Macaca fascicularis: one gene and its partner. The protein of the gene in region 1 interacts with the protein of each later gene in a biochemical or structural test. Links are inferred from orthologs where the notes say so. Each region holds a gene or a part of one and is shown in the gene's direction. Other genes may lie near its edges.

Region 1 (5,572 bases):
AAAGCTCCTTATATATGTATTTTTTGAGACGGAGTCTTGCTCTGTTGCCCAGGCTGGAGTGCAGTGGGGTGATCTCGACTCACTGCAACCTCCACCTCCCAGGTTCAAGCAATTCTGTGCCTCAGCCTCCCAAGTAGCTGGGATTACTTGCATGCGTCACCACGCCCAGCTACTTTTTGTAGTTTTAGTAGAGATGGGGTTTTGCCATCTTGGCCAGGCTGGTCTTGAACTGACCACGTGATCCACCCACCTTGGCTTCCCAAAGTGCTGGGATTACAGGCTTGAGCCACCGCGCCTGGCCTCTTCTTACATGTTTTGTTGTTGTTGTTGCTTGCTTTTTGGGACAAGATCTCACTCTGTAGCCCAGGTTGGAGTGCAGTGTCCCATCATAGCTCACTGCAGCCTTGACGTCCTGAGCTCAAGCAATCCTCCCACCTCAGCTTCCGGGATAGCTGAGACCACAGGCACAAGCCACCATGCCCAGCTTATTCTTTTTGGAGATATGGGGTCCCACTATGTTGCCCAGGCTGGCCTCCAACTCCTGAGCTCAAGCGATCCTCTCCTGCCTTGGCTTCCCAAAGTGCTGGGATCACAGGCGTGAGCCACTGTGCAGGCCTTATATGATCTTAAGCCTCTTCATATCCTGAACTAAATGTAACTTTCCAGTTTCGGCACTTGTTCTGGCACTTTTCCTCCCTCGCTAGATAATACTAATCTTTAATCATGTAGTTTGTTTCCATGCCCATACTACCCTATCTGCTTATAGTGTCTTCCACTTCGCCCAAGAAATCCTACTCAGCTAGCTTGTGTTGTTTTGAGACACTCTCGTTCTGTCGCCCACGCTGGAGTACAGTGGCGAGATCTCGGTTCGTTGCAACCTCTTCCTCCCGGGTTCAAGCGATTCTCGGCCCTACTCAGCCTTTAAAACCGGAATCACGGGTCAAAACTTTCTGGTAAACCACGAGACGGTTTAGGTTATGAAATTCAATGCCCCCTTCCTCTGAAGTCCTGCAAATCTCCAGTAAAGCACCACAGATTGACGAATATTCCAGCCATTTCCCTCTCCCCTCCGATAGCTCCATTTCTCACTTCTATCCATCTTCTCGAGCTTCCTCAGCTCCTCCACCTCCATGAGGCCTGGAAAGCACCTGGTTCCAGGAATGTGAGTCGGAGGCTCAGAGCTACCAGCGCCAAAAGCTGACGTTCAGATACTGCTGAAACAAACCACAAGAGTGCTAAGGCTCCAGGTAATAGTCCGGCTCCAGGTAATAGTCCAGCTGGGATGACGGTAGGAACTCGCAGGCCCGCCGGCGGTGCATGCCGGGAGATACAGTCCCGGGCCGACGCATTACCTCTTGGGAGTTGTAGTCTTCGATCTGGTAAACAGACCACAGCAACTCTGATGTCTTCCCCCACCGTCCCCCGAAAACCCTCGCCCCACCCGCGAGGGACTAGGGTAAGAGTAGGGGCGTTGCCGTGGTTGGCCTAGAACTCCCAGGCTCAGACGATCCTCTCGCCTCGGCCTCCCGAGTTAGCTGGGACTACGCGCGTGAGCCACCGCGCCCGGCATAAAGTCTGAATTAGTCCTTACGCAAAAAGGGAAGAGGGCAGTCCGTAACCTCGCGCAGGATCAAGCTCTCGAGTTCCAGTCTTGGGCTAGCGCGGTGGGCGGAAGGGGCAAGAAGGCGGATCCGGAAGGCGGAGATACGTTACGCCGACGCGTGCGTGACCCTGGGCGAGAGGGTTTGGCGCGAATTCTGAAAGCCGCCGTCGGAGCGCGCCCAGCGACCAGAGACCGACCCTTAAGGAGAGCGCGGCGCTTCCCGAGGCGTGCAGCTGGGAGCTGAAACTCGTCTGGGTTGTGCGCAGAAGGCTGGGGCAAGCGAGTAGACTTGAAGTAGGGCGTAAGCCAGGGGCGTTGGGGTCCGCGCGGGTCAGGCGCGTGTCACCCCCGCAGGGTGAAGTCGGAGCGCGCGGCCCGTTGGAAAGAGCAGCGCTGAGGGCCAAGGTGAGTGTGTGAGGCGCAGGCCGGGCCCTCTATAGCTGCGGCTCGTCGTCGCCCACCTGGGTCCTGGCCGGTCCAATGCTCAGGGGCAGGTGGGGTCTCCGCGCACAGTGTGAAACCCGGACGTGGCAGGGCGTGTCCGCGTCCGACCGACTCTCAGTTGCTGGGGCGAAAACACAGGTGGATCCCAGTCTTTAGAACTAGGGGAGAAACATTAGAGCCTTCATAGCCAACACCCGTTTTATGAGTTTGAGCGAGGAGTCTGAGATCAGAGCGGTGTAGCCACAGCTGTTTAATATCACAGCCAGGGCTTCCGGATTCTTGGTCTGTCTTTCCGTTACACCGTGCTTAGAAAGTACCAACCTGCAATTGCCAAAACAGTATTTTCGTCATCTAATGCGGAAAACCATTCGCATGATGCCTAGAGAATGATCTGAAGTGAGGCTTGGTTTTCTTAAAACTTTTTTTTTTTTTTTTTTTTTGAGATGAAGTCTCGCTCTTTAGCCCAGGCTGGAGTGTAGTGGCGCGATCTCGGCTCACTGCAACCTCCGCCTCCCGGGTTCAAGCGATTCTCCTACCTCAGCCTCCCAAGGAGCTGGGATTACAGGCTCCCGCCACCACGACTGGCTGATTTTTGTATTTTTAGTAGAGACAGGGTTTCACTATGCTGGTCAGGCTGGTGTCGAACTCCTGACCTCAGGTTATCCACCCGCCTCCACCTCCCAAAGTGCTGGGATTACAGGCGTGAACCACCGCGCCTGGCCCCTGTTTTTTTTTTTTTTTTTGAGACAGAGTCTTGCTCTGTCGCCCAGGCTGGAGTGCAGTGGCGCAATCTCGGCTCACTGCAAGCTCCGCCTCCCGGGTTCACGCCATTCTCCTGCCTCAGCCTCCTGAGTAGCTGGGACTACAGGCTCCCGCCACCGCGCCCGGCTAATTTTTTTTTGTATTTTTAGTAGAAACGGGGTTTCACCGTGGTCTCGATCTCCTGACCTTGTGATCCGCCCGCCTCGGCCTCCCAAAGTGCTGGGATTACAGGCGTGAGCCACCGCGCCCGGCTTTTTTTTTTTTTTTTTAAACTTCTAAAGTGATATGTAATATACATGTAGAAAAATGCACATTCACAACTGTATACAACTCCGTGAATTATTACAAAATATACTGGCCGGGTGTAGTGTCTCAAGTCTGTAGTCCCAGCACTTTAGGAGGTGGAGGCGGGAGGACAATTGAGCCCAAGAGTTCGAGAACAGCCTGGTCAAGATAGTGAGACCAGTATCTCTACAGATAGAAAAAATTAGCCAGGCTTGGTGGCGTGCACCTGTAGGCCCAGCTATTCAGGAGGCTGAGAAGGGAGGATCTAGCCTGGGAAGTATAAGCTGCAGTGAGCCGTGATCAGGCCACTGCACTCCAACCTGGGCGATAGAGCAAGACAAAATGAATGTACACCTACGTAATCACCACTTAATAGAATGGTCCCCAGAAGCCTTCCTTATGTAGTATTTAATATTTTCCCCTTTTTACAGTGGTAACTGGTACACTGGTTTCTAATGCGATTAACTAATGTTGCTCGTTTTTGAATTTTATATAAAAATACATCAGGAGTGTTGAGTGTTTCGTTGTTTTACATGCTTGACAACACGATTTTCAGCCTTTTATATTTAACTATTCTGGCCGGGCGCGGTGATTCACGCCTGTAATCCCAGCACTTTGGGAGGCTGAGACGTGCGGATCACAAGGTCAGGAGATAGAGACCATCCTGGCTAACATGGTGAAACCCGGTCTCTACTAAAAATACAAAAAAAATTAGCCGGGCGTGGTGGCGGGCGCCCGTAGTCCCAGCTACTGGGGAGGCTGAGGCAGGAGAATTGCGGTGAACCGAGATGCAATGAGTCGGGAGGCGGAGCTTGCAGTGAGCCGAGATGGCGCCACTGCACTCCAGCCTGGGCGACAGAGCAAGACTCCGTCTCAAAAAAAAAAAAAAAAAAAAATTTTTTTTTTTTACTATTCTGCTGGTTACACAGTAATGTCTCAATGTGATTTTAATTTTCCTGATTACTAATGAGGTTGGGTATTTGTTCATATGTTTTTCCCATTTGGATATCTTCTGTGATGTACTTGTTCAAATCTCTTGTCTATTTTTCTACTTTTTCTTACTGATGTGAAGTTCTTTTTTTTTTTTTTTTTTGTTGAGACAGAGTCTCGCTTTGTCGCCCAGACTGGAGTGCAGTGGCCGGATCTCAGCTCACTGCAAGCTCCGCCTCCCGGGTTCGCGCCATTCTCCTGCCTCAGCCTCCCCAGTAGCTGGGACTACAGGCGCCCGCCACCATGCCCAGCTAGTTTTTTGTATTTTTTAGTAGAGACGGGGTTTCACCGTGTTAGCCAGGATGGTCTCGATCTCCTGACCTCGTGATCCGCCCGTCTTGGCCTCCCTAAGTGCTGGGATTACAGGCTTGAGCCACCGCGCCAGGCCAAAGTTCTTTATATTCTGGTTATCAGCCCTCAGTTATGTTTGTGCTAAATGTTTTCACCTCTACTGTGGTTTGACTTGTCATTCTCTTAGTGGTGTCCTTTGATGAATAGAAGTGCTGAATTTATTTTTTTATTTTTTATTTTATTTATTTATATTTCCTTTTGAGACAGAGAGTCACTCTTGTTGCCCAAGCTGGAGTGCAATGGCGCGATCTTGGCTGACCGCAACCTCCACCTCCCGGGTTCAAGCGATTCTCCTGCCTCAGCCTCCTGAGTAGCTGGGATTACAGGCATGTGCTACCACGCCCGGCTAATTTTGTATTTTTCTTTAGTAGAGACAGGGTTTCTCCATGTTGGTCAGGCTGGTCTCGAACTCCTGAACTCAGGTGATCTGCCCGTCTCAGCCTCCCAAAGTGCTGGGAGTACAGGCCTGAGCCACAGTGCCTGGCCGAAGTGCTGAATTTAAATGTAGTTCAGCTTTCAGTCTTTTCCTTTTTGGCTAGTGCGTTATGTATCGTTTCAAGAAATCTTTTTATATCCCAAGGTTGTGAAAATAATAAGTTTTACTTTGTTTTTGACAGATGATTGTACATATTTATGAGAACAAGTTGATATTTCAGTACATATATATTGAATAATGAATGATCAAATCAGGGTAATCAGCATATCCATCAATTCAGTTCAAACACTTGTCATTTCTCTTTGTGGTGAGAACATTCAAAATACTCTCTTCTGGCTATTTTGAAGTACTCATTACATTAGTGTTTACTGTAGTCACCCTACTATGAAATAGAACCCTAGAACTTATTCCTCCTATCTAACTGAAACTTTGTGCCTGTTGATCAACCTCTCTCCTTCCTGCCCCCTGCAACGGCTGCATTCTCCTCAGTCTCTGGTTACCACTCTTCTATTTGTTCCTTGTATGAGATGAACTTTTTTTTTTTTGAGACGCAGTCTCGCTCTGTCATGAGGCTGGAGTACAGTGGTGTGATCTCAGCTCACTGCAGTCTTCTGCCTTCCAGGTTCAAGCCATTCTCCTGCCGCAGCCTCCTGAGTAGCTGGGATTACAGGCGTGTGCCACCACACCCTGCTAATATTTGC
Region 2 (4,485 bases), on another chromosome or scaffold:
AGCAAGTCACATCTTACATGGATGGTGGCAGGCAAAAAGAGAGCTTGTGCAGGGCAACTCCCATTTTTAAAACCTTCAGATCTTATGAGACCCATTCATTATCACAAGAACAGCACAGGAAAGACCTGCCCCCATGATTCAATCATCTCCCACTGGGTCCCTCCCACAACACGTGGGAGTTATGGGAGCTACAAGATGAGATTTGGGTGGGGACACAGAGCCAAACCATATCATCCACAGATGTACAATTAGGTTATTTCCCATAGGTGTGTATTTTATTCATGTATCATTTTGAATATCTTCAAGTATACCTATAAGGTAAATTTTTAGTATTGCTGAGTCAGAGAATATGTACATTTGTAATTTTGATAGACACTGCCAAAATGCCCTTTGTTGGATGTTGTGTCAATTTACACACCCCCAGAAATACACTAGAATGTCTATTTTCCCATAGCCTTGCCAGGTTAGTGGATTATCAAATGCTTGTATTTTTGCCAATCTGATAGTAAGAAAATAATATATTGGTATAGTTTTAATATGCTATTCTCTTATTATGAATGAAGCTGAGCTTTTCCTAAGTTTAAGAACCATACTTCCTTTATGTGAACCATCTCTTTATATTGTTTGCCCATTTAAAACATTAACAACCTAATTTTTTGTTAGGTATATCTATTATTCAAATAAATATATTAAAATATGAAACTATGATGGTGGATTAGACAAAACTATTGTTATTTTTATAATTTTCTGCTTCATATATTTTATATCTTCCTTGTGAAATTTGTTTTTCATTATGGTTTCTCTATTTTATTGTTATGTAGTGATTGCCTTATCCCTAATGCCTTTTGTTTCATTTTGTCTTAACATATGAAACTAGCTTTCTTATCGTTGGGATTTGTCTGGTCTATTTTTTCCCATCTGTTTACCTTAAATCTGTCTATGTTCTTATATTTTAGGTATCTATTGTCAACAGCATAAAGCTGGATTTTATTTTTTGTCCAGTCTGATATTTTGTTTTAGTGAGAATATTTAGTTTGTTTGCATTTATAATTATTAAGGTATTTTTATTTATTTCTACTGTCTTTTCATTTTTTATTTTTAACAAGGGCCTAATACTGGCTCTTAGTTAGCCAGAGGTTTTTTTGGTCAGTACTTTGCAGGTGTTATTCTATTATCTTCTAATTTTTGAAGCAATCTTGTCGTCTCTTTTCTTAAAACCTCAATGATTATGAATACTGACAAGGATTTGATGATATTAAGGAATGACTTGAGGCTTTTCTTTTAGGTGTGATAAAATTTCAAAGAAGTGTTTATCTTTTAGAAATGTAGAATGAAATGTTTATTAGTGAAATGATACATGCTATATATATATTATATTTATTTGAAATTTCCCATAATTAAAAGGTTAAAAAAATAAAACCTCCAATAGCTTCCTGTTGCTCTTAGGATAGATACTAAGTTAGGGCAGTCTAAATGCTGTAACAAACTAAAAAAGCACAATGGTCTAACACAATAGAAATATGTTTCTCATTTGTGTAACAGGTCATTGTGGGCATTTAGTGGACAGCCTTTCATAAAGTAATTTTGTGATCCAGGGTTCTTCCACTTGGAGCTCTTCCATCCCTTTGGACCTTAGAGTCCTCTGCTGGGTTCCCCTGCATCTGCCAGCCAGCAATGAGAGAAGAGATAAAGTAGAAAATTGTTCAGTTTGAAGTATATTTATAGTTCAGATCTGGAAGTGACATAGCTGCATTCCATAGGCCAGACACAGTGGCAGTTTCTAACTGTAAGGGAGGCTGGGAAAGGTGACTAAGTGCCCTGGAGGAAAGAGAAATGGATTTGGTGAATAACGGCTGGCCTCTGCCATTCATGTTTTGCATAATCCAGCCCTTGAATACTTGCATCACCTTGCATTACTTAACTTCTCTTGCATTATTCTTTGCTTTTACTCTATAGGCTCTAATTGCATAGGCTCCTATCAATTGCTTGATTATGCCAATGCCCCTTCCTTTTCATAGCTTTTTAATGTGCTTATCGTGGAATGCTTTATCTTTCTTCTCCATCTAGTTCTTTCCTCCTCATCTTTCAGATCTTAATAGAACATTTCCTCAGGGTGCCCTTCACTTACCTTCCAGACCAAGTCAACTTCTCTTGTCATATGTAAGGTAGTTCCCTGTATCTTTCCTTCATACCCTTACCTCTGTTTGTAATTCAGCTCCACAGTCCCTTATCTTCAATTCTGAAATCTAGAAAGCTCAAAAGATTTTTTTTTCTTCATAAATTTGTGACAAAATTATTTGTGGCAAAACCTTACCTAAATTGATGTGAGTTTATCGATAGTTTTTATTTAACTCATTTTGTAAGACTGTGACTTGCTACAGAATGTTGATGAGTTTCATTATGGAATGCTGACCCAGACTGTTCGAATTATATTCTGAATTTGGAAACATATCTGGCCCCACAGGTTTTAGGCAAGGGATTTTGAACTTGTAATACATTTTTTTGGATGATTATTTATTTAATATATATCTCTCCCACTAGACTGTAAGGTCCTTTAAGTCAGAGACCATGCCTGTGTTTCTTCATCATTTTACCTTTACTGTTTAACTCAGTACATAGTAAATAATTTATAAATGTTTGTAAAAAGAATGAATGAATTTGTCTTAACTTGAACCATGGTGATCAAATGTAATAAATCACATAAACGAAGTATCATGAAACAAAAAAGTATTGTATTTAGTAGGATATTGGCTTGCCTAAGGATTTTCTCATTGTTTTACTTATTGCAGGTGATTCGTTGGAAAAATTCATTGTCTCTAGAGATTGTCAACTTGGTCCACATCACCAGAAATCTAACTCCCTGAAACCTCTTTCTATGTCCCAGCTGAAGCAATGGAAACATTTTTCTGGAGATCATTTAAAAATTACAGATCCTTTTCTTGAAAGAATAACAGAAAATGTGTCATTCATTTTTCAGAATATAACCACTCAAGCTACTGGCACATAATGAAAGATTACTTCATGACATTCCATTGCTCTTCTTTTGAAAATTAGTATGGTAATTAAATGTACTATTTGAAAATTAATAGAATTATTTAAATTACAATATGTGTTGCAAAATATATTACTTTTGATACAACAGTCAAAATTGAGTGGTTTAAGTTTTTGTAAATATTAAACATTTAAATGAAAAATTAAAGATGTGCTTTTATCATTGTATAATTGTTAATAATTCCTTGATTAATATGCTTTCATTAAGTATTTACTGAGAAATTGTTATGAGGAATATAAAAAGGTAAAAATACTTAGTCTCTGTCTTTGGGAAAACTAATCTGATTAGAAATATTAGATGTTTGAAACAACTGAAAAACTTGGTAAGTTTAAAATGTAGCTCAAAGGAGGAAGAGAATGAGAGGCTAGGATTGCAAATGCTAAAGATGTTGGATGTAATAGTTGCTGCAGGGCAGTTTGAGCAAGAAAAGTCAGTAGGTTAGTGCAGGAGATGAAGGGTTTGAGAACACTTTAGAGCACTAGTTCCTAGTTTGGGACCTCAGACTTAGGCAGTTTATAAAGCCATGTCCACCAAATATTGCTTATGCACTGCATAAACGTTCAAATACCATCATTTAAGGGTTATCTGGAGTAATTTTTGACATTGAAAAGAGTGTTTTTTAGCTGTGCACAGTGACTCCAGTTTGTAATCCTAGTTACTTAGTAGGTAGAGGCAGGAGGATTGCTTGGGACCAATAGTTTGAGACTAGCCTGAGCAACATAGTGAGGCTCTGTCTCTAAAAAATAAACTTAGCCAGGTATGGTGGCACATGCCTGTAGTTCCAGCTACTTGGGAGGCTGAGGCAGGAGGATTGCTTGAGCCTAGGAGTTTGAGTTTGCAGTAAACTATGATTGGATATGATCCAATATCCATCGGGTGACAGAGTGAGACCCCATCTTAAAAGAAAAAAAAAAGGGGTTTAATGTACAAAGCAAGCTTTAGAAGACTGAAGCTTGCAAAGAGAAAGGAGTTACTAATTTAATTTCCAAGTGGGGCTTCTGTAATTAGCTTTTGTTTCCATTTAGGAAAATTTCCTTTAGATGGAAAATACAGGTATACCCTGGAGATATTGCAGGTTTGGCTACAGACCACTGCAATAAAATGAATATCACAATAAAGCGAGTAACACATTTTTTTGGTTTTCCAGTGCATATGAAAGTTATGTTTATGCTATAGTCTACTAAGTATGCAACAGTATCATGTCTGAAAAATGATGTATTTTCCTTAATTTAAAAATAATTTGCTAGAAAATGCTAACGGTCATCTGAGACTTTAGTGAGTTGATGTCTTTTTTTTTGTTTTTTGAGACGGAGTCTTGCTCTGTCACCCAGGCTGGAGTGCAGTGGCACGATCTTGGCTCATTGCAACCTCTGCCTCCTGGGTTCAAGCAATTCTTCCTGCCTCAGCCTCCCAAGTAGATGGGATTACAGACA

Evidence for each region.
Region 2: the proteins of RAD51 (region 1) and RAD54B form a complex in vitro, tested with the Homo sapiens proteins (2 studies listed by BioGRID). The link is inferred for Macaca fascicularis from reciprocal best matches to the Homo sapiens genes RAD51 and RAD54B.

Annotation. Positions count from the first base shown.
Region 1 is NC_088381.1:17,222,759-17,228,330, forward strand, and holds the start of RAD51 (DNA repair protein RAD51 homolog 1), read left to right. Parts: upstream 1-1,737; 5' UTR 1,738-2,008; intron 2,009-5,572.
Region 2 is NC_088382.1:104,022,946-104,027,430, reverse strand, and holds the end of RAD54B (DNA repair and recombination protein RAD54B), read left to right. Parts: intron 1-2,789; coding exon 2,790-3,007; 3' UTR 3,008-3,199; downstream 3,200-4,485. UniProt on the Homo sapiens protein: Involved in DNA repair and mitotic recombination. May play an active role in recombination processes in concert with other members of the RAD52 epistasis group.